7 linked regions of the Canis lupus familiaris genome follow. Each later gene encodes a partner of the first gene's protein in a complex. Links are inferred from orthologs where the notes say so. Each region holds a gene or a part of one and is shown in the gene's direction. Other genes may lie near its edges. The genes, in order: RUVBL2, MORF4L1, WDR92, ING3, PDRG1, MBTD1 and MEAF6.

What was found.
Region 2: RUVBL2 (region 1) and MORF4L1 share a complex: the UniProt entries of both Homo sapiens proteins name them as parts of the nuA4 histone acetyltransferase complex. The link is inferred for Canis lupus familiaris from reciprocal best matches to the Homo sapiens genes RUVBL2 and MORF4L1.
Region 3: RUVBL2 (region 1) and WDR92 share a complex: the UniProt entries of both Homo sapiens proteins name them as parts of the PAQosome complex. The link is inferred for Canis lupus familiaris from reciprocal best matches to the Homo sapiens genes RUVBL2 and DNAAF10.
Region 4: RUVBL2 (region 1) and ING3 share a complex: the UniProt entries of both Homo sapiens proteins name them as parts of the SWR1-like complex. The link is inferred for Canis lupus familiaris from reciprocal best matches to the Homo sapiens genes RUVBL2 and ING3.
Region 5: RUVBL2 (region 1) and PDRG1 share a complex: the UniProt entries of both Homo sapiens proteins name them as parts of the PAQosome complex. The link is inferred for Canis lupus familiaris from reciprocal best matches to the Homo sapiens genes RUVBL2 and PDRG1.
Region 6: RUVBL2 (region 1) and MBTD1 share a complex: the UniProt entries of both Homo sapiens proteins name them as parts of the nuA4 histone acetyltransferase complex. The link is inferred for Canis lupus familiaris from reciprocal best matches to the Homo sapiens genes RUVBL2 and MBTD1.
Region 7: RUVBL2 (region 1) and MEAF6 share a complex: the UniProt entries of both Homo sapiens proteins name them as parts of the nuA4 histone acetyltransferase complex. The link is inferred for Canis lupus familiaris from reciprocal best matches to the Homo sapiens genes RUVBL2 and MEAF6.

What each region holds. Positions count from the first base shown.
Region 1 is NC_049222.1:108,064,875-108,068,583, reverse strand, and holds part of RUVBL2 (ruvB-like 2), read left to right. Parts: intron 1-1,745; coding exon 1,746-1,875; intron 1,876-2,039; coding exon 2,040-2,106; intron 2,107-3,709. UniProt on the Homo sapiens protein: Possesses single-stranded DNA-stimulated ATPase and ATP-dependent DNA helicase (5' to 3') activity; hexamerization is thought to be critical for ATP hydrolysis and adjacent subunits in the ring-like structure contribute to the ATPase activity.
Region 2 is NC_049224.1:58,626,708-58,630,416, reverse strand, and holds part of MORF4L1 (mortality factor 4-like protein 1), read left to right. Parts: intron 1-80; coding exon 81-167; intron 168-584; coding exon 585-665; intron 666-3,709. UniProt on the Homo sapiens protein: Component of the NuA4 histone acetyltransferase (HAT) complex which is involved in transcriptional activation of select genes principally by acetylation of nucleosomal histones H4 and H2A.
Region 3 is NC_049231.1:68,525,092-68,529,413, reverse strand, and holds the start of WDR92 (WD repeat-containing protein 92), read left to right. Parts: upstream 1-1,353; 5' UTR 1,354-1,677; coding exon 1,678-1,860; intron 1,861-4,322. Other genes in the region: RNA-binding protein PNO1, read right to left, coding at 292-441, 944-1,156. UniProt on the Homo sapiens protein: Key assembly factor specifically required for the stability of axonemal dynein heavy chains in cytoplasm.
Region 4 is NC_049235.1:59,197,485-59,201,874, forward strand, and holds the start of ING3 (inhibitor of growth protein 3), read left to right. Parts: upstream 1-1,535; 5' UTR 1,536-1,597; coding exon 1,598-1,625; intron 1,626-1,872; coding exon 1,873-1,944; intron 1,945-4,390. UniProt on the Homo sapiens protein: Component of the NuA4 histone acetyltransferase (HAT) complex which is involved in transcriptional activation of select genes principally by acetylation of nucleosomal histones H4 and H2A.
Region 5 is NC_049245.1:21,881,678-21,885,509, reverse strand, and holds the end of PDRG1 (p53 and DNA damage-regulated protein 1), read left to right. Parts: intron 1-1,539; coding exon 1,540-1,620; intron 1,621-2,195; coding exon 2,196-2,278; 3' UTR 2,279-3,130; downstream 3,131-3,832. UniProt on the Homo sapiens protein: May play a role in chaperone-mediated protein folding.
Region 6 is NC_049230.1:26,972,816-26,976,524, reverse strand, and holds part of MBTD1 (MBT domain-containing protein 1), read left to right. Parts: intron 1-919; coding exon 920-1,067; intron 1,068-1,922; coding exon 1,923-2,005; intron 2,006-2,463; coding exon 2,464-2,698; exon of another isoform or gene 2,699-2,822; intron 2,823-3,198; coding exon 3,199-3,276; intron 3,277-3,709. UniProt on the Homo sapiens protein: Chromatin reader component of the NuA4 histone acetyltransferase complex, a multiprotein complex involved in transcriptional activation of select genes principally by acetylation of nucleosomal histones H4 and H2A.
Region 7 is NC_049236.1:5,020,214-5,023,922, forward strand, and holds part of MEAF6 (chromatin modification-related protein MEAF6), read left to right. Parts: intron 1-2,746; coding exon 2,747-2,834; intron 2,835-2,989; coding exon 2,990-3,035; intron 3,036-3,709.

The sequences.
Region 1 (3,709 bases):
CCCTGCCAGTTAATCCTTTCTGTGTAAATCAAGGTTGGGTTCGGCCACATTCAACAGACAGCCCAAAATGGCAGAGACTTAAATGCTCTGCTTCATTCTGTCACATAGAAGAATCTGAACATAAGCCACTTAGGGCTTGTTGAGCTGTTCCATCAAGTATTCACCTTTCTACCTCAATATCCTCTGTACTTTTTTTTTTTTTTTAATTAATTAATTAATTTATTTATGATAGTCACAGAGAGAGAGAGAGAGAGGCAGAGACATAGGCAGAGGGAGAAGCAGGCTCCATGCACCGGGACCCCGATGTGGGATTCGATCCCGGATCTCCAGGATCACGCCCTGGGCCAAAGGCAGGCGCCAAACCGCTGTGCCACCCAGGGATCCCTCCTCTGTACTTTTATGGCAGAGTCACCTCATGTTCCAAGAGGGTTGCCTAAGCTTCGGCCTTCCTGTCCATTTTTTAGTATATGTGTTGCCGAAGTGAGCACAGGCCTTCCCATCCATACTCCCATGTAGGAGGAAGGAGAAAGAGATCTTGCAGTGAGGGTGTACCTCCCTACCTTTAAAAGTAGTTAGCTCCCGTTAAGCAGCTGTCTTGGGACCCCCACATAATTTTTTTTTTTTTTTTTTTTTAAGATTCTTTATTTATTCATTCATGAGAGACACAGAGAGAGAGAGAGAGGCAGAGACACAGGCAGAGGGAGAAGCAGGCTCCATGCAGGGAGCTTGACGCGGGACTTGATCCCAAGTCTCCAGGATCAGGCCCTGGGCTGAATGTGGCACTAAACTGCTGAGCCATACTTTTTCTTATATCTGCCCCATACTTTTTCTTATATCTTATTGACTAGAACTTAATCATATGGTTACATTCTGCTGCGACACTATGGGACATTAACATGACATGAGGGAGCAGGGAGGGATGTGATATGGCAGTTGTCAGGAGAGACTTCCCAGAGAAGTCAGGCCCTGAGCTAAGACTTGCAGGGTGTCTGGGAGTCTTCTGGACACGCAATATGGGACGGGGCTATCCAGGCAAGAGTGTGGCACATGTCTGGAAAGGGGACCAGGAAGAATTTCCACCTCTTACTGGTCAGAAGGGTCCAGTGACTTCCTGTCTGTGAGACTTGACGTGGTGCTTAGAGTGACTGCAAGGTCAGCCCCGGTGTCTGCCGGCCAGCCCCAGGCCAGACAGAAGACCTGTCCCTGGGCTGGTTACAGGTCATGTGATGGGTTCATGGTTGAGCACCAGTGCATGCCTGCCACCCCCAGATCGCTTCTCTGCAGGTGCGGTCCCACACCAGCACTTGTTCTGTTGTGGTCCTCATTATACAGAGATACAAACAGACAAGACTTCTCAGGATCACATGGTGCTAAGCGGTGGAACCGGGATTCGAACCTAGGTGGTCTGGCTCTAGAGCCACCACCCTTAACTACTCTTTCAGTCCTCTTTTGGCCTTGATTCCTGCTCATTACCCCCAAGCCTAAAAGGCTAAACAACTTCTAAAGCCCTGGCGAGGTTATAGGGTCATGAAATTGACCTTCTGGTCAGCATGGGGTTCGAGTCCAGGTCTTCTATGTAGCCCGCCATCCCTGGCTTTCTCCATGTCTCCCTGTCTGCCCCCAACACTGTGTGTATTTCACCTACGCTACTTCCTGAGGAGGGAGAAGAGCTGGTTTGACACAGAATAGGTGTTGGGGACCTGGTGCCAGGCTGTCCCCACTTACCCAGACCACCTCTTCCCCAGGCATGGCACAGGCCCTGGGCCCTGACACCCCGTTCACAGCCATCGCGGGCAGTGAGATCTTCTCGCTGGAGATGAGTAAGACAGAGGCACTGACCCAGGCCTTCCGGCGCTCTATTGGCGTTCGAATCAAGTAAGCACAGGACCCGGTGTGGGGGATGGAGTTAGCTTGCAGTGGCCTTGGGATGACCCCTGCCTGCCCTGTCCGGCTTGTCCCATGCCTAAGGGCTCATGGGAGTTAGCCATTTGCAAGGGCCTGGGCCTCGGGCTCTCTGCTCACATCCGTTTTCCGCCTAGGGAGGAGACTGAGATCATTGAAGGGGAAGTGGTGGAGATCCAGATTGACCGTCCAGCCACAGGGACGGTGAGTCTGCTGCTGAGCCTGGGCCACCTCCAGGGCTGGAGGATGGGGTGCCAGAACCCAAGGGATGTTGGATGTTTGAGCTGCAGGTCAGAGCCCTCTACTGTGTACTGTGGGGGTCATTGACAGTTTATCCACTTTTTTTTTTTAAGATTTTATTTATTTATTCATGAGAGACACAGAGAGAGAGAGGCAGAGACACAGGCAGAGGGAGAAGCAGGCTCCATGCAGGGAGCCTGACACGGGACTCGATCCTGGGTCTCCAGGATCACGCCCTGGGCTGAAGGTGGCGCTAAACCACTGAGCCACCCAGGCGCCCCAGTTTATCCACTTGTGAGTGACGCCCTGAGCCGTTAAAAGCAAGTGGTGTCATGACAGAGAAGGTCTGGAAGTTCCTCACACTTAAATTTTTTTTTTAACTTTTATTTATTTAAATCATCTCTGCCTACAACATGCGGGGCTCAAACTCATGACCCCAAGATCAAGAGTTGCATGCTGTTCTCACTGAGCCAGCCAGGTGTCCCTCTCACAGTTCGTTCTTTCTTTCTTTTTCTTTTTTAAAATTTATCTTAAATAAAATAATTTAAATTCAGTTTGCCAACATGTCATGGTAAACACCTAGTGTTCATCTCACAGTTAATGGTTAGGCTTAAGAACCTGTTCTGTGAGATTTTATGCAGCTTAGCCCTAAAAGGTGTTTCCTATCCAGCTTACATGGTCATGGTGATTTGCTCCCTTTTTTTTTTTTTCAGCTAAGAATTTTAACTTTTTTTTTTTTTTTTTTAAGATTTATTTATTCATGAGAGACACAGAGAGAGAGAGGCAGAGACATAGGGAGAGGGAGAAGCAGGCTTCTCACAGGGAACCTGATGCGGTACTCGATCCCAGGACCCTGGGATCACAACCTGAGCCACAGGCAGATAGATGCTCGACCACGGAGCCACCCAAATGCCCCAACATTTTTGTTGTAAATTGCAACAGATGTAAAGAAGCACGTAAAATAAGCGAATGGTCTAGTATGTTATTATAAAACAAATCTCCTTAGAACTACCACCAAGATAAGAAATTAGAACTTTGAAGAAAAAAAAAAAAAAAAGAACTTTGCCAGCTCCCATCCCTACCTCATTGCTCTTTCTACAACACCCCACATCCTCACAAGGGTGGCTGCCCTTGCCTGTTTTCACTTCTTGGGTGTCATTGGTTTTATCACCCAGCAATGCATTCCCATGCATTAGTCAAGATTGCCCATTTTTAAGATTTCTTTTTTCTTTTCTTTTTTTTTAATAGAGAGCATAAGTGGGGGCACAGGGAGAGGGAGAGGCAGATTTCCTGCTGAGCAGGGAGCCAGAGCTGGGGCTTGATCCCAGGACTCCGGGATCATGACCTGAGCCAAAGTCAGATGCTTAACCAAGTGAGCCACCCGGGTGCCTCTGATGTAAAGATTATGTAAATAAATCGATAAATCTTTAAAATATAATAAAATAAAAATGTAAAACCAAAACCATCTCTCTCTTCCTCCTGAATTCCAGCCCTTTTGTCCTGCCATCTTTCCCTACAAAAAGAACAGCTCACTAGAAATAAGAGACAAGTGGATGTGCTGGAAGAC
Region 2 (3,709 bases), on another chromosome or scaffold:
CTCTAAAAAGTAATTGGTGGACAGAATCTAAATAGTAGTAAAAAATAATTTTGAATGATAATTTAACTTCTCTTTTTCAGTTGGGATGAATGGGTTCCAGAAAGCAGAGTACTCAAATATGTGGACACCAATCTGCAGAAACAGCGAGAACTTCAAAAAGCCAATCAGTAAGTTTTGCAGCACGAGTATGAGAAATGAGAAATGTCTATAAATTTAATTTTGAGAAATGGAAAAGTAGAAATCATGTTGGCTGCCTGCCTAAAAAATGATTCTTGGTACCTATCAGCTGCTGTGTGTTGGGGCTTTAACTTCGAGCAATCAGAGAAGCCTTTTCTAGAAAAAAGGAGTTGTTAGCATACCGGTCATTTCTTGAGTCTGTCCATAGAGTTAGGTAGAAAATAGCAGGATGTTGTTGGAATTCCTGTAGTTGCAAACTCACTGTGATCTTCCTTCCTGATTCTATTATACTTGGAAAGGGACATGGGACGTCAGTTTGAATATAAATCTCAAATGGAATCAAGGTGGCACGATTTACTTTTCCACATACTCATTTAATGACAACTTTATTGAAATTATTTTTGAAGGGAGCAGTATGCAGAGGGGAAGATGAGAGGGGCTGCCCCAGGAAAGAAGACATCTGGTCTGCAACAGAAAAATGTTGAAGTGTAAGAAGCTCTCTTTGTTTTAATTTTGCATATTGTTTTATACGTGAAATTCAAACTCAGTACTCATTATCATGTTTTAGGATTTATTGAAAATGGAAATTGGAACATTTTTGACTTGAAAAATGCCAATGAGAATCGCATTCTCAAGTGTTGGGTTGTTGAAAATAGGTGATAATTAAATACTCCTTAATTTCCCTTAGGTTTTTGTACCACCCTGCCCCCTTTTTATTATGGTGAAATATATGTAACTTAAGATTTACCACTTAACTCCTTTTTAAGTGTATAATTCAGTGGCATTGAGTATTTCCACAACCCTTACTTTTTAAGATGTATTTGTGCATGTATGTTTTTTAGAGTATTATCAGTTGGATACAAGTCAGGTAAGGTATTTTTTGGGTAGATTTGGTTCTCCTCTAGCACTAAAAATAAATACTAGTTTAATTCTTCTCTTGAAACCCATGGTAAGAATGTGTGAGATGTTAACAGTTTCAAATTACCTGTCCACCCCATGGGAGAGGAAACATTTCTTGTTAACTCTTAAGATTTAGAATATCTTGGTAAAAAAAAAAAAAAACTGTGTGGAAGTCATACACATATGACAAAAACTTTAATCAAAAGATCATTTGGGATCCCTGGGTGGTGCAGCAGTTTGGCACCTGCCTTCGACCCAGGGCGCGATCCTGGAGACCCGGGATCGAATCCCACATCGGGCTCCCGGTGCATGGAGCTTGCTTCTCTCTCTGCCTATGTCTCTGCCTCTCTCTCTCTGTGTGACTATCATAAATAAATAAAAATTTAAAAAAATTAAAAAAAAAACAAAAGATCATTTTATTTCTTGTGATTTGATTATTCTCCTTTAAAAACAGGTAGTTTAATGAGAGGTTGTATTCTTGTCAAAGGATCAAAAGTGACAGTGCTCTAAAATATGATTTATCAAAGAAGTTTTTCCTTAGAATTATATCGTATTGCTTTACAGTTAGCGGTCTGGTCTGACTTTACTACCTAAATGTGAGATGTTAGTCATGAAGGTAATTAGACGTTTGGAAGGTTGAGGTGATAATTGATGGCCAGGGAGTGGGTGTGCCACTGAGGGTGTCCTGTAGCTTTCATTAATAAACAATAACAAATGATGCAGTTTTTTGGAAAACTGCCATGTGGTAGTATTCATTAGGGTTTTAATAGCAAGTGAGTCTTAAAAGTCAGCAGTTTTCTCATATGGGAGAATATGATGGATTTATATCAATAAAATAATACATATTTTTTAAAAGATTTTATTTATTCATGAGAGAGACAGGCAGAGGGAAAAGCAGGCTGCATGCAGGGAGCCTGATGTGGGACTCGATCCTGGAACTCCAGGATCACGCCCTGAGTGGAAGGCAGATGCTTAACCGCTGAGCCACCCAGGCATTCCAGTACAATAATATTTTTGATATGTTAATCCTTTATCATGTTAAAAGTTGGTGTAGAAAATTAGTCTACATAGTAGTAGACTTAAAAACTTAGTATTTGAATATAAAGCGTACATATAAAAATGGTTCAGTAATTACATGAAATAAAGTTTTATTTATTTATTTATTATTTTTTAAGGTTTTTATTTATTCATGAGAGAGGCAGAGACACAGGCAGAGGGGGAAGCAGGCTCCATGTAGGGAGCCCAATGTGGGACTCAATCCCAGGTCTCCAGGATCAGGCCCTGGGCTGAAGGCAGCACTCACCGGCTGAGCCACCCGGTTGTCTCTGAAGTAAAGCTTTAAACTCAACTTTCCCTTCCTTGGAGAATTGGGACCTCTTCACATTTATGGACTCCTGGGTCCTTTTGAGGGCTTCTAGGTGTTTTGGGTCTTCTGTGTCATCAGGTAGGATAAAGGTATATTCTAGGATCACCTGGTAAATTTTGTGCCCTAAGACCTGGAACTTCCTTTTTCTCCAAGAGCCTTTATTAGTAGGAAAGATGACATTTTATTGAGCTCATTATCTGGGTGGTTAGAGAAGACCTCAAGTAATTTTTAGCATTGCTTTTCCCTAGTAGAATAGCAGGTATATTTTAAAGTATATGGAAATAATGAGTAATTAAACCTGACAATATTTTTCCCCCATTTCTTTCATTTTGATTTGAGTTTTGATACATTTTTTTGATACAATTTTTAATGTTTGGTTTTATCCTACTTGATCTTTAGGGTTTAGTAATTGTTCTTTTTCTGAATATGCATAGAGAAGTAAAGTAAACTTTGTTAACATCTTGGTCCTTAAACTTTTTTTCCCTAAACTAATAGTGAATATGCGTGATGTTTGTTAGTACTTTGGCTTCAAAAGGTTGTGCTTTGGTTCATTGTTTAGTGGAATGGCTTTTCTTAAGAGTGACTTAGGACTTCTCTTATTTAAATTGAAATCTAACAGCTAATATTTTGACTATATACTTGGTCATAGGGCTTAGAGAAAGAAACAGCACTAGCAGTTTATTGTAGGAAATTTTTGCAATATGAGAAAGCTTGCTTTTTTTTTTTTTTTAATTTTTTTTTTTTTTTTTTTTTTAATTTTTATTTATTTATGATAGTCACAGAGAGAGAGAGAGAGAGAGGCAGAGAGAGAAGCAGGCTCCATGCACCGGGAGCCTGATGTGGGATTCGATCCTGGGTCTCCAGGATCGCGCCCTGGGCCAAAGGCAGGCGCCAAACCGCTGCGCCACCCAGGGATCCCTTTTTTTTTTTTTTTTTTTTTTTTTTTTGAAAGCTTGCTTTTTAATTAACTGTAAGCAAGAAGGTTGAAGCAAGAATGTTCGTGATTCTTTGCTGCTGCGATTCATTTAAGTATAGTTTATAGATTATATAATTAGGGCCCATTGTCAGTGTTTTTCCTTTAGTTTTGTCATATAGAATAAGTGTTTAAGGAATGCCTGTCAGAGCTCTAGGTTTCTCCTAGCCACCACCTGTGTTCTTTTTTTTTTTTTTTAAGATTTTATTTATTCATGAGAGACAGAGAGAGAGAGGCACAGACACAGGCAGAGGGAGAAAGAAGCAGGCTCCATGCAGGGAGCCCGACAGGAT
Region 3 (4,322 bases), on another chromosome or scaffold:
AAGCAGAGACCCAGGCAGAGGGAGAAGCAGGTGCACGCAGGGAGCCCAATGCTGACTCGATTCGGGGACCCGGGGTCACGCCCTGGGCTGCAGGCGGCGGGATGCCAGCCCGATCCAACGACTACTTGGGTTGAATGCATGCACATTTTGAAGACTCCTCCGTGTGGCCATTTAACAAAACAAATCCCCGTTAAACGAAGTCTATTCACGCCTTCTCACCCCCGCCCGCAGGAGAGCAACAGACCCCGACACATTTGGGAACATTTGGGAACTGGCTGACATCCTCCTTACCCTAATTTCCACATTCCTCGATTTCAGGTTAAACCGTATCTGAAGCCCCAGGTGCTCTACGATGGGCGTGAATATCTTCATCCAGTTCTCTTTTAAGGGCGTGTACCTGTTGGCCGGGACGGCAATCTTCCTGGTTTCTTCTTTCCCACCCTAGGATCAAAGGACACGCAGGTCAGGAGATGCCCCGGGGGCCGCAGGTGCAACCCTGAGCGGGCCGTCCTTCCCCAGGACGCTTGGGCTCGACGGATTAAAACCTCCTGGCGCAGAGCCCCAGCTTGGAGGAATTCACTAAAGATGCCCCGGGGGATGCGGGGGCGGGGCCACGAGGCGAGGGGGCGGGGCGAGTGCGGAAGGGGCGGGGCCACGAGGCGAGGGGCGGGACTAGTGTGGAAGGGGCGGGGCCACGAGACGAGGGGCGGAGCGACAGGAGGGGGCGGGGCGGGCTCAGCGGCTTGGCGCCGCCTTCCGCCCAGGGCGTGACCCCAGGTCCCGGGTTCGAGTCCCGCGTCGGGCTCCCCGCAGGGCGCCTGCTTCTCCCTCCGCCTGTGTCTCTCATGAATTAGCAAAATCTTAAGGACTTCCCTCGGGAGCAGCCCCGCAGCTCCGGCAGCACCCGCAGGCCCCGGCCCCGCCGCGCGGTCCCCGCTAGTACCAGGACTCCATCCCCGGCGAGGGGCGGGAATACGGGCCTCTTCGCGGGCCGGGCCTCCTCCGTGTCCATGCGGCCCGCGTCCGCGCCCTCGCCCGCCGCCGACAGCTGCTCAGCCCGCCGTTTCTTCGCCCGCCGAGCACCCCTGCGGGCGACCGGGGTGAAGCCGTCCCCGGCCGCGGCGCTCTGGGCGTCCATCTCCGTCTCCGCCTCCATCCCCGCGGAGCTCCGGCGCCAACATGTGCTTCCGACCCCGACGCGGGCGCCGCTGCACTGCGCAGGCGCACGTCGCGGGGGCGGGGCTGCGTCGGCCAACGAGCCGCAGGGCCCCGCCCCGTGCCCTCGGGGTCCTGCAGGGGGCCTGAAGCGGGCCGGCGGAAGGGAGGACGCCCCAACACGTGCCTGATTCCCGGGGCGCCGCCCTGGCTTCGCCGGCCGCAGCCGGGGCCTCGGGCCTCCCAGCGTGGGTGTGCACGGGAGGCAGCAGGTGAAGACGGGAGCCGAGTGCGTGCCGTCGGGGAGGAAACGTCTCCGCGACTTGAGCAGCGCGTCAGGCACGGCCGCGGACGACTACACCGACCGGCCGGGGCGCCCGGGGCGGCTACGGCGAGCGGGAGGGGGAAGCTGTCGTTGCTGTTTGGGGTCTGGTTTCCCGGTTAGCGCTCTCGGGGCGCGCCGGCGGGGCCGTGGGGCCGGGGGCCGGGGGCCGGGGGCCGGGGGCCGGGGCGGGGGGCGCCATGTCGGCCTTCGAGAAGCCTCAGATCATCGCCCACATCCAGAAGGGCCTCAACTACACGGTGTTTGACTGCAAGTGGGTGCCCTGCAGCGCCAAGTTTGTGACCATGGGCAACTTCGCGCGGGGCACCGGCGTCGTCCAGCTGTACGAGATCCAGCACGGGGACCTGAAGCTGCTGCGGGAGGTGGGCGCGGCGGGGACCGGGGCGGGGGGGGGGTCCGGGTCCGGGTCAGGGCCGGGTCGGGGTCCGGGTCCGGGTGCGGGTTGGGGTCCGGGTCGGGGTCCGGGTTCGGGTCAGGGCCGGGTGGGGGTCAGCGTCCGGGTCGGGGTCCGGTCGGGGTCCGGGTCCGGGTCGGGGCCGGGTAGGGGTCCGGGTCGGGGTCCGATCCCGGTCGGGGTCCGGGTCGGGGCCGGGTAGAGGTCCGGGTCGGGGTCGGGGTCCGGTCCGGGTCGGGGTCCGGGTCGGGGCCGGGTAGAGGTCCGGGTCCGGGTTGGGGTCCGGGTCGGGATCCGGGTCCGGGTCAGGGTCCGGGTGGGGGTCCGGGTCGGGGTCAGGGTCCGGGTCGGGGTCCGGGTCGGGGTCGGGGTCCGGTCCGGGTCGGAGTCCGGGTCGGGGCCGGGTAGAGGTCCGGGTCCGGGTTGGGGTCCGGGTCGGGATCCGGGTCCGGGTCAGGGTCCGGGTGGGGGTCCGGGTCAGGGTCCGGGTGGGGGTCCGGGTCGGGGTCCGGGTCGGGGCCGGGGTCCGGTCCCGGTCCGGGTCCGGGTCGGGGTCCGGGTCCGGGTTGGGGTCCGGGTCCGGGTCCGGGTCAGGGTCCAGGTCGGGGTCAGAGTCCGGGTCGGGGTCCGGTCCGGGTCAGGGCCGGGTAGGGGTCCGGGTCCGGGTCGGGGCCGGGTAGGGGTCCGGGTCGGGGTCGGGGTCGGGTCGGGGTCCGGGTCGGGGTCCGGGTTCAGGTCCGGGTCCGGGTCAAGGTCAGGCTCCAGGTTGGGGTCCGGGGTCCCGGTCGGGGTCTGAGTCCGGGTCAGGGTCCACCGCTGAGTCCCGTCCCGTCCCCGTCCCCGTCCCCGTCCCCGTCCCGGGCTGCCCTAAACTGCTGTTTGATAGAAGCAGAAGCCGAGGTGCCTGCGTAGGTGGCGGAGGCGCTGGCCCGGTGTCCGGTGTCGCAGGCACGTGAATGACAGCGTCCCCGCTCTCGGGCGTTTACTTTCCAGCGGGGGAGCCACGATCCGTTAAATAATCAGGCCGAGGATGCATAAATACAAACCGACATGAATTCTCTACCATAAAGGAACACGGTTCTGCGAGAGTAAAAGAAACTGGGGCTCGGGGGGCTCCGCGGTGGAGCACCTGCCTGGCCCAGGGCGTGACCCCGGGGTCCTGGGATCCAGTCCCACGTGGGGCTCCCTGCGTGGAGCCCGCTCCTCCCTCTGCCTGGGTCTGCCTCTCTCTCTGTGTCTCATGAATAAATTAGATCTTAAAAAAAAAAACTAAAAACAACTGGAGAGCATCTGCTTGGACGAGGCAGGTGTTAAACTGTCAGCTAAAGGATCAATACAGTTTGGATCTGCAGGCTTGGATTAGAAGGTACATGAGATCCCGTCTAACTGTAAATTTCTCCGAGTGCTGGTTTTCTCGTTCAGTTTGTCTTTTCTTGCCGAGTACTTGGGTCAGAGTTCCTAAGCATGGCTTGGTCGTCTTCGCCTTGTCTTCTGTGGTTCACTGGTTAGCCCCCAGGCACCCGTTGCTGTTTTAGGGTCCAGTTCGGATGACTTGATCCCCACAGGAGCACATCCTGACACTGCATTCCTCGGGTACTTAGGGTCCGCTCCAGAAGTTGTGTCCCGTTTGTCTCTAAGTAGGTCGTAAGCTCCTGGGGAGTAAGGGTAGTGTGTTTCATGAGCGCGGCTTGTAAGGTTCAGCCGCTCAATAAATTACCTGTTAAAAGCACGAGTGTACGTATACCTGTAAAAGGATGTAACTTGGAAAATTTAAATAATTGGTTTATGGATCATTAACCAACAGGTGTCAGGGTTTGAACAACTGGGAAACCTTGGAATAGGAGACAGAAATTTACAGGTGAAGCATTAGGAACAGATACCAACTACCGTCACATTTAACCAGAGAGCATTTGCAGACTTGTGGCTTTGAAGGTAGGATTTGTGCATATTTCAGGACTACACTCGTTCTACAAGGCGAAATAGGGCCCTTTGTCTCTATCTCTTGGCAACCTATGCCAAGACACTATGCTGAAGAAGGGCCGAGGTACTCAAGGGACGAATCCCTTCTTCTAAAGAGAGGATAAAACTAGCGCAGAAATACTTTTAAGAACTTGGATTACGTTTGGCTGTGATGGTGCAGTGGGAAAGGCTGTAGGTTTAATACAGGCTTGGTGATTCCCAACCCTTACTGTGCATAGGATCAGCAGAGTGCGTTCTGGAGGTCGGTGGGGTGGGTGTGTGTGTTTTAAAATATTCACGCCATGGTCCCACCTTAGGGAATTCTGATGCCGTGGGACTCTTGCATCTACACTAGAGTGAGGCCTGGACATCAGTATTTTTAAGACTTCAGCTAGATGATTCTAACAGGTACCAGGGTTGACTGCCACTGGGTAGGTGAATTCTTGAAACACTTGGTTCTTCATTGTGGAA
Region 4 (4,390 bases), on another chromosome or scaffold:
TGGTTGAGAATTTTCTACATTCACCGCAGGACACTAGTGCTGAGAGTCAGCACTCCTTTCAAATCCTAAGCATGGTTTGAACTTTTTTTTTTTTTGAATGGTAAGAAGGAAGGAAACAAAGAAATGACTATGGACCTAGATTCACCACTGAGAAACCACAGAAATATCCAAGAGATCTTAAAGGCAGCCGGAAGGAAGGAAGGAAGGAAGGAACGAAGAAGGGAGTGTAGGAGGGAGGAAACCCGAAAATCCTAGATTTTAGATAAAAGTACAGAAAGTAAACTAGGTAATCATTAGAATTGAGGTGGGTTTCCCTTGACATTCACCAACACGACAGGTGAGCATCCTGACCATGAGCGGTGGAAAAAGTCTTGGGTAGAAGAGGGCGGAAGGGAGAAAACTCAAAAATGCATCAAATGTCTCGACTCCAATTTGAAAAAAAAAAAAAAAAAAAGAAAAAAAAAGTGAAAATAGAACACTGAATGGCGAACTGAAGACACATTTCCCAGGAAAACGAACAGAGAGCTAAGGCAGGTGGGAGAGAAAGATGCTCTCGACCTGTGCTGCGTGCAGATGTTCTTAAGAAAAAGAAAACTGAGCCGTGAAGGACCGAATCCATCACGGGGCGGGGAAGGGGTCCCGGGGTAGAAGATGACCCCTCCCGCGGGTGTAGACAGCTGGGGGCGGGCTGCTTACTCAACACCGCCTGAAGTCATTCTTAGAACAGCTCATTCGACAGCAGCAAGTCTCCATCCGTTATTTCTGCTTGTTCTCTAGTTCTGCTTTTTTTTTTTTTTTTTTTTTTTTTTTTGGTGGGTGCACTTCGTGCGTTCAGCTCGATGACATCACGGTGACGACGAGCCGGACCGCGGAATAAAAGCAGGTAAAGAGCGCGTGGAGGGCGGCCACCCGTCCAGGTGCAGGAAAGCCAAGCAGGCGCCTCGTGGGTATTTTGAGCAGTCGGAGACTAAGGATGCGTTCCAGCCAGGAGTTCTGTCTTACACAATGCGGATCGCCCGAACTCCGCTGGCCGTTCCGGCGCTGGAACACCTTCCACCTGCCCCGCCCGCCTGGAAACCCGCGACTCCCAGCCGCCGGGGCCACCGAGGCACGCCGGCCGGGAACAGGTGGAAAGTTGCTCCTACTTGGGTTCCGCGGGCGCCTACAACTCCCGTCATGCCCCGCGCCGGCATCAACAAATAAACAGAGGCACCGCATTTCGGATTCCGCGGCGCACGGGGCGCAAGGCCGCCTGGTCTTCGTAGTTGCCACGCCGGTAACCGCCGGGCGCGCCGATCCTCGCCGTGGGGGGGAACCGGACTACACTTCCCACAAAGCCGCGCGGGCGGACTCCGGCCGGCTGACGTCATCGCCCCAGCCGGCCAATGACGGCTCCGGGCGGCAGTGAGGCAAGCGCCGTCAGGCGCCAAAGTGGTTTTTTTTTTTCTTTCTTTTTTTTTTTTTTTTTTTTTTTCCGCCGAAGCCGAGCGGGTGCTGCTAGCGGAGGCGCCATATTGGAAGGGACAAAACTCCGGCGACAGCGAGTGACACAAATAAACCCCTGGACCCCCTCGTTGCCCCAGCTCTAAGGGCCGCGATGTTGTACCTAGAGGACTATCTGGAAAGTGAGTGGGCGGCGCTGGCGGGGGCCGCCTGGGGGACCCGCGGGCGGGCGGGCGCGCGAGCGGCCGGGCGGGCGGGATGGCGGGAGGGAGGGGGAGGCGGGGGATGTTTCTTTCTCACGGTAACTGGCAGCCGGGCTGTGGGCTGCCGGCTCCTTCGCCCCCCCCACGCACGCACGCACGCACGCAGTGACGTCAGCGCGCCCTTCGCCGTTGGCCCCGCCCCGCTGACGGCCTCTCCCTTTGACAGTGATTGAGCAGCTGCCCATGGACCTGCGGGACCGCTTCACGGAGATGCGCGAGATGGACCTGCAGGTGCAGAGTAAGTCGGCGGTTCGCCCGCCCGGCCGCGCGCGGTCGGGGCCAGACCTTCCACCGACGTCGTCGCCTCTGCTCTCTGACTCTCCTCCGGCTCACGGGCTAGTGCATAAGGAGTCGTTTAAAAAAAAAAAAAAAAAAAAAACAAACGCCAAAAAAACCCCCCCAAAACCATAAAACCACACACACACATACACAAGGCAGTGCCGCATCTTGCCTCTTGCTGTCCACGCCGCTTCCCCCTTTGCTTTTACCCGAGGAGGAGGCGCTGGGGCCCGCGTGTGTGTTTCTTTCCCGAATTCAAGACTGGGATAAAAGTTTCTGTGCCTCGGGGAGGACGTAGACACATGCTTTTAACGCACGTCGGTGTAGGTGTGGAGAAGATGGTGGTTTCTGGCCCGAGCCCTTGCGTCCGGAACGTAGATTTCGGCATTTAGACTTCTGCTGAAGTTGGTTCTGCTCAGAATTTTCTGCAGAGCGGAAAACCCAGCAGCCTGGGGGTTGGTGTGGCTCTTTAGTGACCCCGCTGAACTTGGAATGTCGAGTCTTGCAAAGCCGCACCTTGCAGGATGCATTCCCACCCGCCAGCAGGATGATGCTATTCCCCCCCCACCCCCCCCATGAAAACGAGTGAGGAAAATAGACCTTCCTGTAAAGCTGCTTATCTGTTGCAATAAAAGTGATGACTTCTCATCGATCAGTGGTAGCTTGGTAGTCTGGTTCCTTCCCCCTACCCACCCACCCCCCCAAAAAAAATTAACCGTTGTTCTTTCATAGAGCAGTATTTGGTTTATCCGATTGTTTTGTTTTGTTTTGTTTTTGTGAAGGATTTGACTCAAAGCAAGGAAAGAGTCAGTGCCTTGGAAACGAGGAGGTCAACACTTGGAGCAAAATCACAGTTAAAACGAGTACGAATTTACGCCTGTCGTGCTCTGAAAGAACCTCACAGGCCTTCTCCCCCTTTTATGAAATGAATGTAATACAGCCGTTCCGGTTCTCTTGCAGGGATACCATACTGTGAACTACGAGTGCGGAATGAATTACACGTTACACGATTATTTTATTTTATTTTTTTTTTACGTTACATGATTAAAATGTACAATGGGGTGTGCGCTTAAGCCCGGATGTCACCCTCTCTGTAGATGTAGGCTTGGCTGCCAGCAGCGCATCTCGTCTAAATTGATCTAATGTTTTTCTAATACTGTGGATGACATGAGATAATGCAAATAGCCCGTTGACCTAGGTCCTGAAGACCGTCCAACAGATGGTCTTGGAGGCTGTTGGAGCCTGAAGATGGCTCCAACAGAGCAGGGGCTGCCATGGTTACTGACCTGCACTGAGTAGTTTTTATCCAGAAATCAATTAAAGTTGCATTTGTTACTTTAAACAAAACAAAACAAAACAAAAAAACTTGTGCAGTTGATATTAATGGCTGGCCTTCATGCGGTCTGTCCTCAAGAAAATACGTGCCTTGATCCCATTTATTCTAGCTGTGGTTAGGCTATCTACGTAAAATGTTTCTCATGCCACTAGGTTTTTTTTTTTTTGTCCTCGAAAAGTAGCGGTGGAGGAGGATCTGGGTTTGGGGGTATGACTGGGGGGAAAAGGGTATCATGGAAAGAAATCAGAGACCCAGCATCCCTGAGGATCCTGCAGCTCCTGAGGGCCTGTCCTTTCCCCCGTGCTTCCCCACCCCACACTCGCACCCCACGCTTTCATACCCACGGGTGATGAATATAGGTTCCTGAGCCTCTGGTGCGTTCCATGTGGCCATGCGGCATACAAGGTGATGGGCTACGGAAGCCTTCTTTATGTTCAGTGGGTCATAGTGTAGGAGTCTGAACTGTGTGTTTCTTTAGCTTGCCCACAAAATTCATTTTGACTGTCATGTAGTTGAAATGCTAAAGTAGCGTTTTCTATGGGACTGAGCACAGATCTTGATGTCAGATAGATCCGAGTTCGTATTAGAGTTTTGCTGACTTACTCTTTGACCTTGACCGCATTACCACTTCTGAGGGGTTTTCCTTGTCTATAGAATGGAGATCATCTGAGGATTTAAAATAACACAGTTAAACTAGAATTTATAGTATCTGATACAAAGCAGAAGTTCACGAAAAGGTGACTTATTTTTGCTTCGTTATCATTACAAATTTTAAATTCTCTTGTGATTTGTAATTGGATTATACAAATGAGAGGTTTTATTTTTTTATGTTTTTTAAAGATTTTCTTTAAAATCTTTGAGAGAGAGCACACGTGGGTGCAGGCACACGAGCAGGGGAGGGGCAGAGGGAGAGAGAGAAGCAGCCTCCCCCGCTGAGCAGGGAGCCGACTGGGGTTGGGGGCACCCAGTCCCAGGACCCTGAGGTCATGACCTGAGCCAAAGGCAGGTGCTTAACCAGCTGAGCCACTCAGGCGCCCCAGATGAGAGGTTTTATACACTTGCATTTTAT
Region 5 (3,832 bases), on another chromosome or scaffold:
CAGCAAGGTCACCCTCATGTATTCTCATAGTGGCTGTGTCATCTCAGGCCTCATGTCCATAGGCCAGGCTGCAGGAGCAACAGAGGGCTTTCCATACATGGCCTTGCTTTCTATTTCAAAATAATGCTGTCGTCCTCAGAGACTTTTGACATCTCATTGGCCAGAACTAAGTCATGTGGCCACCATAGCTGCAAGGGAGCCTGGCAGAGGCACTTTTACTTTTCACATCCCCTGCCATAGAGATTGCACTGAAAATGGAGGTTTGAGGAGAGTGAGCCTCTAGAGTGTGCCACAGCCTGGGTACTTAGCATGTTACTCAAATCTTCGCAGGCATGATCCTGGGGGCTCTTTGGAGGAGCATCATAAAAGTACAAAAGGGAGGGTACAGATGGGTCCTTGGCTGGAAAAACGAAAGATTATGCATATTCCCCCATCAAAAATGTATGTGCCAAGAGGACCAGCAAGTTCGCCTCTGTCCCTGAAGGCAGAGGCTCCCTATCCCTGTTGAAATAAAATTATAGCAAAGGAGACTAGATCACCTTAGAGAAGTTTCCACCTTCCTGTTGAAAAAATACACACTACTGTTATGACTATAAAATTAAGAGTCGTCATTGCACTTGGGTGGTGGGCTGCTGGCCACTCAGGTTCTCAGCTGTCTTGGCCCACAGTTGTGGGTTGTTGCCATACCTAGAAGGATTCTGAGATATTATCATCACCAGTTCTTAGGGGTTGATGCAAGTTAAATAAGCTTGTAAGAGACTAGCGTTGCTCATTTACCATGAGTACTAGAACCATTGCCCAGGCCAGAGGGCTCGGCTGCTCAGAGCTTCTCTCCATCAGAAAGAATGAAAATCTGTGGAGAAGACCAACTAGCCAGCACTACACTCATGAGCAGGTGAAGTCAGGTGACATTAGGCAGTTGCATCACCAAGCTTTGTAGCCTGTACTTCCTATAGTGCAGTTTGCCTTCAGATGTGATCCATCTGGGCAAGATAACCTTTTCTGTTCACCACAGTTAATTAGATTAAGCTTGAGCACCTGATTTGCCCATTGATTGTTCAGATCACATGTTACTATGGTCATGTTGCTTAAAAACTGCTTAGGTTTTTGATGGACTTAGGTTTGTAAGATTCCTTAGCCACACTTTGTCCAATCATCTTGGATGTGCTGAGTCTAGGTTCTTCATTCTGGTCTGATGGTTCTGTTTTCTGGAATTTCACTGTGGGAGGGGGTCCTAAAGTCCAGATATTGCCTTCTCCACCTATGAGCAGCCCAGGGTACATTGCATAATGAAAACAGGTCACTGGATGGAGAGGCGGGTGCTCAGTTCTGCCTGGACTCACTCAGCCGCCTTGGGCAGACCACCTCCCTTTCTCTAGCCCTTTAGTTCCTTCCTCAGTTGGTCTCTGAAGTCCCCTTCTTCTCGAATGCCAGGAGCCCTTGCTTTCAAGGAGGCTAGGAGAAGCTGACTTCCCCAGCTGCCTTTGGTCAGTGTGTCTGTAGTATAACCCCATCCGGTGCCCACCTCATTTTTTTCAGATCAGGATCATCTGGATAAAGAAATAGAGAAACTCCGGAAACAACTTAAAGTGAAGGTCAACCGCCTCTTTGAGGCCCAAGGTATGGGCCTGGAGGGAACTGGAAGCCGGGCTGGGAGAGAACTGTCAATGTGGGAGGCCTTCCTAGGTAGGCGGGCGAGGGCCTAGGCAGCATGTGAGCCGCACAGAGGCTATTGGCAGGCCCAGAGATGGAATGGACAAGGTTTATGGGGTCTTATTCCTCTCACGAGTCTTTTTTCCAGCCATAAGGGGAACAGTCTGGGGTATCTCACATTATATCCTGGGCGTGGTATAGGAACCAGAACAGTTCTGTCTGAGGGGAACAGAGAGGGCCTCAGTCAGATGGTCAAGGTCAGAGCTGAACTTCTGGGTAAAGCTAACCACTCCAGATTGGTCACAGGTTTGGCAGAAATTGGTAGGTTTCTGGGCAGCAGTATCATGGCTCTGCAGGTTTTCGGTGACTCATGTGCCCTGTCCAACGCATTGCAGAATTTGAGGCCCTCCCCCACTAGATCTTGGGCCAAGTGTTTGGCACATGAATGCAGCATAAACCCCTTTCCTGGGCCTGACTCCAGAGCCAGCAGGAGGTTGGACAACAGGAGGCCCAACTTGCTGATGATTGTTTTCTCCCCCTAGGCAAGCCAGAGCTGAAGGGTTTTAACCTGAGCCCCCTCAACCAGGATGAACTTAAAGCTCTGAAGATCATCTTAAAAGGATGAAACTCAAAAACCAAAATGAGGGATCTAAGACAGCATCCCCCCTGAGGTCATGGCGGACCCAGGACTCTCCAACTTTGTAACCTGCAAGGACATGAACTACTCTGCTAGGAGATAGGCATCAGGAGTCTGAGCATGAGAAGCCTCTGTCTGTGGGGATTGGCTGCTCTGTGATGGCAGGAGGGAGCCCTCAGCCTGCCAGTGTCTGTTGGGTCTGGCCACTGGAGTTGGATGGACACAAGACCCATTGATAGGTCCTGGCAGCCACCAGTGGTGGGTGGGGGCAGTGCTTTGGGGGTGTGAGAATGACCGAAACAGGCACTTATAACAAGAGCCTGCTGTTCACATGGGCCCCTGGCAGTGGCGGGGGAGTGACGGGGAGCATGATTCCTGCATTCCTTTCAGGAAGAGAGGCATTCTCAAACATCATGTAATGGACTTGGAATAAAGCAGGAGGCTCACAGGTAGGTGGTTTCTGAAAGGATAGAATCTTGGTGCTCCATCGTTCACCACAGCCATCTGTGGGGCAGACATACCATTCCCCACCACTGCCTCCACTTTGGCCCCTTTTTTTCTGCTTGCCCCTCAGATGGAGCCCAGAGTGGGTGCTGCTTATCAAACTCCTGCACTTGCTGTTTAGTCAGGAAAGCCTTACAGAGTTCTGTACTGGGGGTGGGAGAGGGAGCTGCCTCTTCATGAGGCCCTCCACCACCTCTGAAGGCTGGGCCTGGCCAGCACCACTCAGTTCCCGCCTGCCCTCAGTGGTCTCGGATCTTGGTGTGAATGTGCTGTGAGGACAGCACCATCTCTTTAATGTTCATTGAGGGCTTAATAAATGTTTCCTAAATGAATGAACAGGAGCTTCTGTTCTTTACCTAATCTCATTCTTAATGGAGGGCACACTGCCTCAAGCACACCACTACAAAGGGGCAGTGGCTCCTGCTGGGAAATGATAGCAGGATTAGATAGGCAGTAACAGTGATGGCGGCAGAATGGAGAGCACGTGCCTCACCTGGGTCCCCTCACCCCACTTGGCTCCAACCCATAATTATATGGAAACACAAGCTGGTATGGCCAGATCTTAACATTTGTTTTCAGAGAAGCTAGAAATTTGGATTTTTAAGTTGAATCTTTTCTGTCTTTTAAATATTGCTAATGCAGACATTTTTAAAGACTTGGGTGTTGGCCAAACAGAATACCTGACATAAGCCAAATTTGACCCATGCCTATGATTTTACATCTTCAGTTTTTAAAGTAGAAGTAGCATGTGTTTTCCCCATGATGACCCTAAAGTGGGCAGGTGGAATTGGAAGCTAGATGTCTGCCCATAGTAGATTAGTTAAACGAACTGATAGCTGCAGACAGTGGAGTACAGTACATATATCAAGAATAAGGAAGCTCTCTGAGCACTGACTAAGAACAAGTTCCAAAATGTAGTGAGAAATGAAAGTGGACAAATGGGAGTCTAAAACCAGTAATTAGTGTGCAAACACTGCATGATCCCACCCAAAACAAACTCCAGGGCTGGAGCATGAGAGTGAAGAGGACATATCCATG
Region 6 (3,709 bases), on another chromosome or scaffold:
AGTCAGGGAGAAAACATTTTAGAAAGCTGAGAGTAGTCAGCAAGTATGAGATACTTCAGGGAGGCTGAGATTTGAGGAGGGTAAGTGTTGCAGGAAAGGCAATAGATCTGACAAACTTGGTCACTGGTGAATTTAGCATTGTAGAAGGTTTGGGACAGAAGTCAGACTGCAAAGAGTTACATAGAATATACCTGGAAGTGGATCTCTGGGTAAAGTATGTAGAAGTTCATCATACTGTTGTACCTTTTCTGTAAATGTGAACTGTTTCAAAATAAAATATTTTAAAATTGATAGTGAAAGACATTAGAGTATAAGAAATAGTGTTTGTGGAGCAAAGTTCCAGCAGTAATAGGACATGATGGAAAGGTTTGTGTTGGGGGTAGGGTATTACATCTCAAAACAGGGGCACGAAGAAAGGAGTATGGGGACCCTTGCGCAGGGTGGCCTTAGATTCTTACACAGGAGCATGGGTATCTGTAGCATAAGAGAGGTAAAGTGGAGGATTGGTAAAGGTGGGAAAAAGTTTGGAAAAAACCCTTTCTGCTAAATCAGAAGGAAAGTTATACTGAGTAGGACTCAGAACCCTACCGAGACTAGACAGTTAAATTGGAGAGGAGCACTGGGCCCTGCTTCATGGGCCACAGCAGCCAGCACCTTACTATTGGCAAAAGGCACTGTTTGTCCTAGACCTCCGAAGTCACTTCTGTGTAACCCTGCTTTTGTTCTGGTACACACCGCAATCTGTGGAGGTTTCTCGTTACTATTTCAGTTACTAACACAATTCAGTGAAGAAGCATTTTTCACTTTTAAGAGACCTTTATGTAATACATTTTCCTTTCTTTTAGAATGTCACTTAAAGGATCACTTTTATAGTAGTGATATCTAATTTCAAATACTTGGAATTCTCTTCATTGAAAAGGTGCTGGCTGATGGATTCCTGATGATTGGGATCGATGGCTCAGAAGCAGCAGATGGATCTGACTGGTTCTGTTATCATGCAACCTCCCCTTCGATTTTCCCTGTTGGTTTCTGTGAAATTAACATGATTGAGCTCACTCCACCTAGAGGTACTTCATCCTATATGTACACTGGGTCATCATCCTTGCCCTCTTTTTTTTGCGTGGTATTTACTAATATCATTTAACACAGCCCTGGATTTTCTACTCTGTGAACCTATGATACATGTGTGTATGTACATTTAAACGTACATACCCATACCAAGCGCTGAGGGGTACTCTAAAAATATAAGGCACTGTATTCTAGCTAGCTTTAATAAATTACATTAGTATATAAGTTTTCCTGAGCATCTGTACATTTTATAATATGAATTGGTATTCTCTAAGCCCTGTGGAGATGGCGATGTAGGTAATTGTACACATGAACTTTTGTTAAAAATAGATACATGCTAAAGCCTTTGAGGGAAAGCAAGTTTCCATCTTTAGAATATCATGTGGCTTAAAAAAAAAAAAGACTTACCCTTAAATAGCTTTCAAGGCTTAACCAGTGTCTTTCCTAATTTCAATATCTGAGCCTCGTGTTTTTCTCCTAAGAAAAGAACAGAGGTCTATAAAAATAGTATTTACCCAACCAGTTTTCTTACTTGAAAAGAAAGAAAAATATCACTGTGAAATATGAAATGCTATACTCTCCTACGTGTAGGATTTTAAAAGCAAAGGTCTGTAAAAGGATTGAGACACTTTTGCGTTAGGTAAGTAGGTGCACCTGTGTCTGTCTAGAAATGGAATGAAATCCTTATAACACAGAAGAATGACTGCATTTGACAATATTAGAGCAAGAGTTAAAAGTTTATTATAAAATCTAAAACCTGAGATCTTAGTGTGTAATGAGTCAGTTTTTTATCTACATTTTAATATTTTGCTAATTTTAAATGAACTGCTGATTAAATCAGGTGTGTTTTTCAGGTTATACAAAACTTCCTTTTAAATGGTTTGACTACCTCAGGGAAACTGGCTCCATTGCAGCACCAGTAAAACTATTTAATAAGGTAAATTTGAATAATGGCATAATATGTACAGCTTTTTGATGCCTCACAAATGCAAATCATTGTTGATCAAAATGTCTTTGGTTTATATTAGAAATTCTTTTTTTATTTTTATTTATTTATGATAGTCACTATATGAGAAATTATTAATGGAAATTAGTATAAACAAACATATTTATAGTAATAAAACAACATATTTTCTTTACCTAGGAAATGAAGCTTATTTTCAAACTTTGCTTCATTTTTAATCTGAGTAAAATAGAAATGAATACATTTCCTAATCAGTTCTTAAATACTTCTCACCTACATATGTTTTAATAACTAAAGAATCATTTGCAATTTTTTTGGTTTAAATTAGGTTATCTGGTTATGTTGCTTTTTTTCTTTTTTTCTCTCTCGGTGATTGTGAACTCATGCATTCTTTTTTTCACCCATGGTAATATTCTGCTTCTCTGTGTCAGGATGTTCCAAATCACGGATTTCGTGTAGGAATGAAATTAGAAGCAGTAGATCTCATGGAGCCACGGTTAATATGTGTAGCCACAGTAACTCGAATTATTCATCGTCTCTTGAGGATACATTTTGATGGATGGGAAGAAGAATATGATCAGTGGGTAGACTGTGAGTCCCCTGACCTCTATCCTGTAGGGTGGTGTCAATTAACCGGATATCAGCTACAGCCTCCGGCGTCACAGTGTAAGTTGGTATACAGAAAAGGTGTCCTTTTGTAAAAATCCGCAATTCTCCAGAGGACTGTTTCACATAAGTCATCTTGTGAGCTCACAGGACAAGAATATACCTTTGTCTGATTGGTTGCCAGGTAAGATCTTAAGACTCAACAACAATATCACAGAATCAGACCATGAGTACCACAGCAGTGTGAACTCAGTAGTCAATTACATGATGACTATAGAAAGAAACCCCACAGTAAGAGTACCCACCAAAGTCATCTAGACTTGTTTTAATGAGTTTGAAATTACAGGCTAACATTTACTGGCATATAATAAGTTCTTATTGAATAAATAATGGAATCTGTCTGGTGTCATGGGTTTTACAGAACAAGCGCCCTTATTTTCAAAGCATCTTGTACTTTTTTAAGTATAATGGCCTTGGTAAAGATAATTCATCTTAAATTGTATTTAGATTCATGTGTTTGCAATGCTTACTTGGTACCAATTTTCCATTTTATTTTTCAGCATCAAGAGAAAGCCAATCAGGTTCATCAAAACAGAAGAAAAAGGCTAAGTCCCAGCAATACAAAGGACATAAGAAAAGTGGGTCACCACATGGTGTTTATATACATTTCCTAAGTTGTTAACCAATTGGGGTCACAGTATTCTTGCATAGAAACTAATATCCCTGTGAGAACCTATGACTGTGCATTATGTATTTTGCTTAAAGGTGCAGTATGCCATAAAAGGCAAACCTTTTCAATAAACAGAAACTCTTACATTTTAACGGACAGGAAAAATTATCACCATAATATTTTAAAATATATATGGTAAAGAATACAGTACAAGTAGTTCTTGAAATAATATGTAAACCTACTGAAAATTAATCCTTTTTTTAATCTTTTAAAAAAAAAAAGTTAAAGAAATGCTTGATATTTACAACAGACTTAAAGCCTAAGAAACCCATCCTTCTTATAAACCAAAACTCTCTTTCTAGAATGAGACTTACAAGAAAGTTGATGGCTAACAAAGTCAG
Region 7 (3,709 bases), on another chromosome or scaffold:
GACACAGGCAGAGGGAGAAGCAGGCTCCTTGCAGGGAGCCTGACATGGGACTCGATCCCGAGACCCTGGGGTCATGCCGTGGGCCGAAGGCAGGTGCTCAACCACTGAGCCACCCAGGGATCCCCACATACCCATATCTATACTTAAAATTTTTAGAGGCACCTGTGTGGCTCAGTCAGTTAAGCATCTGGCTCTTGATTTCAGCTCAGGTCATGATCTCAGGGTCATGGGATCAAGCACCATGTCAGGCTCCATGCTGAGCATAGAACCTGCTTAAGATTCTCTTTCTTTCTCTCTCTCCACCCCTCCCCCTCCTCTCTCTCTGTCTTAAAAAAGAAAAAAAGTCAAAAATTTTTGATGTCATTACAGATACATGGGAAGTTGCAGCAATATTACAGAGGTCCCGTGTACCCTTCACCTAGTCTTTCCCGATGGTTGGGCTTTATGTAACTGTAGTAGAATATCAAATCCAGGAAACTGACATTGGTACAATGTGTATGTGTGTGTGTAATTGTCACTGCCGTGTAGACTCCTGCGTGCACCACCTGCGTGCACCACTGCAATCAAGATACAGAAGTATTTCATCACCACAAAGATCTCCCACCTGCTACCCCTTTATAGTTATATCATCCCTTTCCTCCATACTTTTTTTTGTTAACCATTTAAGCAGATAGCACGACACTTTGCTATCTAATTATGTCAGCATTTACCTCCTAAGAATATTTTCTTTTCTTTTTTTTTTTTTTAAGATTTTATTTATTTATTCATGAGAGATACATAGAGAGAGGCAGACACAGGCAGAGGGAGAAGCAGGCTCCATGCAGGGAGCCTGACATGGGACCCGATCCCGGGCCTCCAGGATCACGCCCTGGACCCAAGGCAGGCGCCAAACTGCTGAGCCACCCAGGCTGCCCTTTTTTTTTTTTCTTTTTTTGAAGAAGAATATTTTCTTACCTAACCACAATTAATGCATATAGAAAATTGCATTACATTAATAGTATCATCTACTATAGTCTTTATTCAAATTCCCCTAATTGTCCCCGACATGCTTTGCTACCTTGTTTTGATCCCTTCAGTGTTCATGTATCAATATTTGGCTATTATGTCTCTCTTGTCTCTTCATTTAAGAGAGTTAAGAGAGTCCCCCACCCTTTTTGGCAGTAAAGTTGTTCGTGACACTGTCTTGCAGAATGTTCCAATTCCAGATTTTTCCTTTTGTGATGAGAGATCCTTTAAGGATTTTTGGCGAAAATATTGCATAAATGATTTGTATGCCTGGTGTGTTGTTTACCTCAATTTTATTGGGAGGCACATAGTGTCAGATTGTCCCATTATTGGTACAAAGATGGAGCATATGATTTCTCCGTTGTAAAAATTTATTTGTTCTCTGTAATTTATAGGTAGTTTGGGGGCTGTACTTTTAGGCAGTGTGAATATACCGCTTTTCCAAATTTTTATTCAGTGGTTTTAGTATCCATTGTTGATTTTTACCCGACTCATTTGATGTACTGTGGATTCTGATTTTACTCGTCCTGGTACATGGATCACTGGTATTCAGAAAGAAGAATCTTCCCTTCATATCTTCTCGCCCTTTCGTTCTGTATCTCTGGCCTTCTCTCTTTAGTATCACTAGAGACCAATGGATTTTTTTTTTTTTTAAGATTTTTATTTATTTGACAGAGAGAGAGGGAGAGGGAGTGCGCACAACAGGGGCAGTGGCAGGCAGAGGGAGAGGGAGAAGCAGGCTTCCCACTGAGCAGAGAGCCCCCCAGGCCCCTGGGATCACAACCTGAGCTGAAAGCAGACATGTAACCGACTGAGCCACCCAGGTGCCCCAGGACCAGTGATTAAAAAAAAAAAAAAATCAGTGTGTGGGAATCTAGTACCGTTACTTTTTTATTGTGGAGGTTTATTTTTTGCTATAAACTTACTGAAATACATGCAGAGAAGCACATACGTCATAAACATACAGTTTGATGACTTTTCACGAAGCAAACACACCCATCATTATCCTTTCCAGTGCTTGATTTGTCCCAAATATGGCCAGAGGAAGCCTCCTTTGTCCTGCTGATGTGACCCTATTAGACTCTGTTAGTCTTCAGGCATTTTGCTGCTTTCTGTCCTAGCAGGGTCTCTTAGCCTCACCTTGCCCTTTTCTTATCCCAGAACTGAGACCAGCCATTTCCTTAAGGAACCCTGGCTTGTTCTTTAAATTTTTTTTAAGTTTTTTTTTCCCTATTCACGAGAGACACAGAGAGGCAGAGACAGGCAGAGGGAGAAGCAGGCTCCCTGCAGGGAGCCCGATGGGAACTCGATCCCAGGACCCTGGGATCACACCCTGAGCCAAAGGCAGATGCTCAACCCCTGAGCCACCCAGGCATCCCTCATTACATTTTTTACATTAAGCTTATCTGACAAAACCATTTCATATCACTAGTCTATGCTAGCCGTTTTTAATAATAAGTATCAAATACATATGAAAATGTTAATGACAGTGACCCAACTGAAGTAATGTCCCACAGTGGAGCACCCCCCTATGCGCTGGAAACCGTTGCTGTCTGGGTGGGCATTTAGCGTTAGGGTCCTGTCGGTCACTCCAGAAGGTGTGGAGGCATTTCTGTCTGAAAGCTCGTAACTTAAAAAAAAAAAAAAGACAGTGAGAGAGTTCCTTACTGTGCCCTGGGCCATCCTCAACTCGAGCCATAGATTCAGCTTGGTGCTTATGAGTTTCTTGTGTGTGTTTTAGAAACTCCAATAGCAAAAACGACCGAAGGAACCGGAAGTTTAAGGAAGCTGAGCGACTCTTCAGTAAATCCTCAGTTACTTCGGCAGCTGTAAGTGAAGTGGGGGGAATCTTTCTGTGGCCCATTGGGGAGAAACCCCTCAGTTAAATTTCTGCTAGTTCCCTTTCTCCCTGCTGTCCGGGGGCTCTCCGGAGGTCTGTGATAATTTTTCTAGTAACAGGTTTCTTCTTTTTTTTTTCTTTTAGGCAGTAAGTGCATTGGCAGGAGTTCAGGATCAGCTCATTGAAAAGAGTAAGTTTTTTTTTTTTTTTTAACTTCTTTATTATTTCATTTTTAGGTTTGTCTTTACCTCCTATCCGACTATGTCTCTGAAGACTACATCTCTTATACTCTTGCCTCTTTTTTCTAGAAGTTAGGGAAACCTTTAAGTCTCTTTAATCCTGTCTTTTTGTTGTTGTGGAGGAAGAAACCGTGTCCCTCTAGCCTCTTCTATCATGCAGAGGTTGACTGTAGCTATTCAAAGACACAGAGATATGTCTTTGCTGCTGATAAGTGTTAGGGAGTTTTTTTTGTTTTTTTTTTGTTTTTTTTTTTTTTTTTTAATTTCAGACATATCTGATAACTCTCCATGTCCCCACTTTAATAATTCTTAGGAAAATCTGATCCTGTGAACAGAATGTACCTATGTGTTCTTAAATATAAAACATAGGGTAGATAGTATTTACTTTGTAAAGAAATTGTATCATTCTATGTAAGCCATCCAGTCTAATTCTGTTCTAAGGTCTGGTGATGGAATACAGATCTGTGCATTTATCTTTCTGAGACTCTGGGTAGCTGTATTGGACACTCTTCCTGTACAGTGGGTCACTTTGAAACATAACCTGCTTTTTGTATCATGGCTGTGTACTTCTTTCAGATGGTGTATCTTATGGGGTTCAGTTCTTGTGTTTGCATTGATCCAGTGA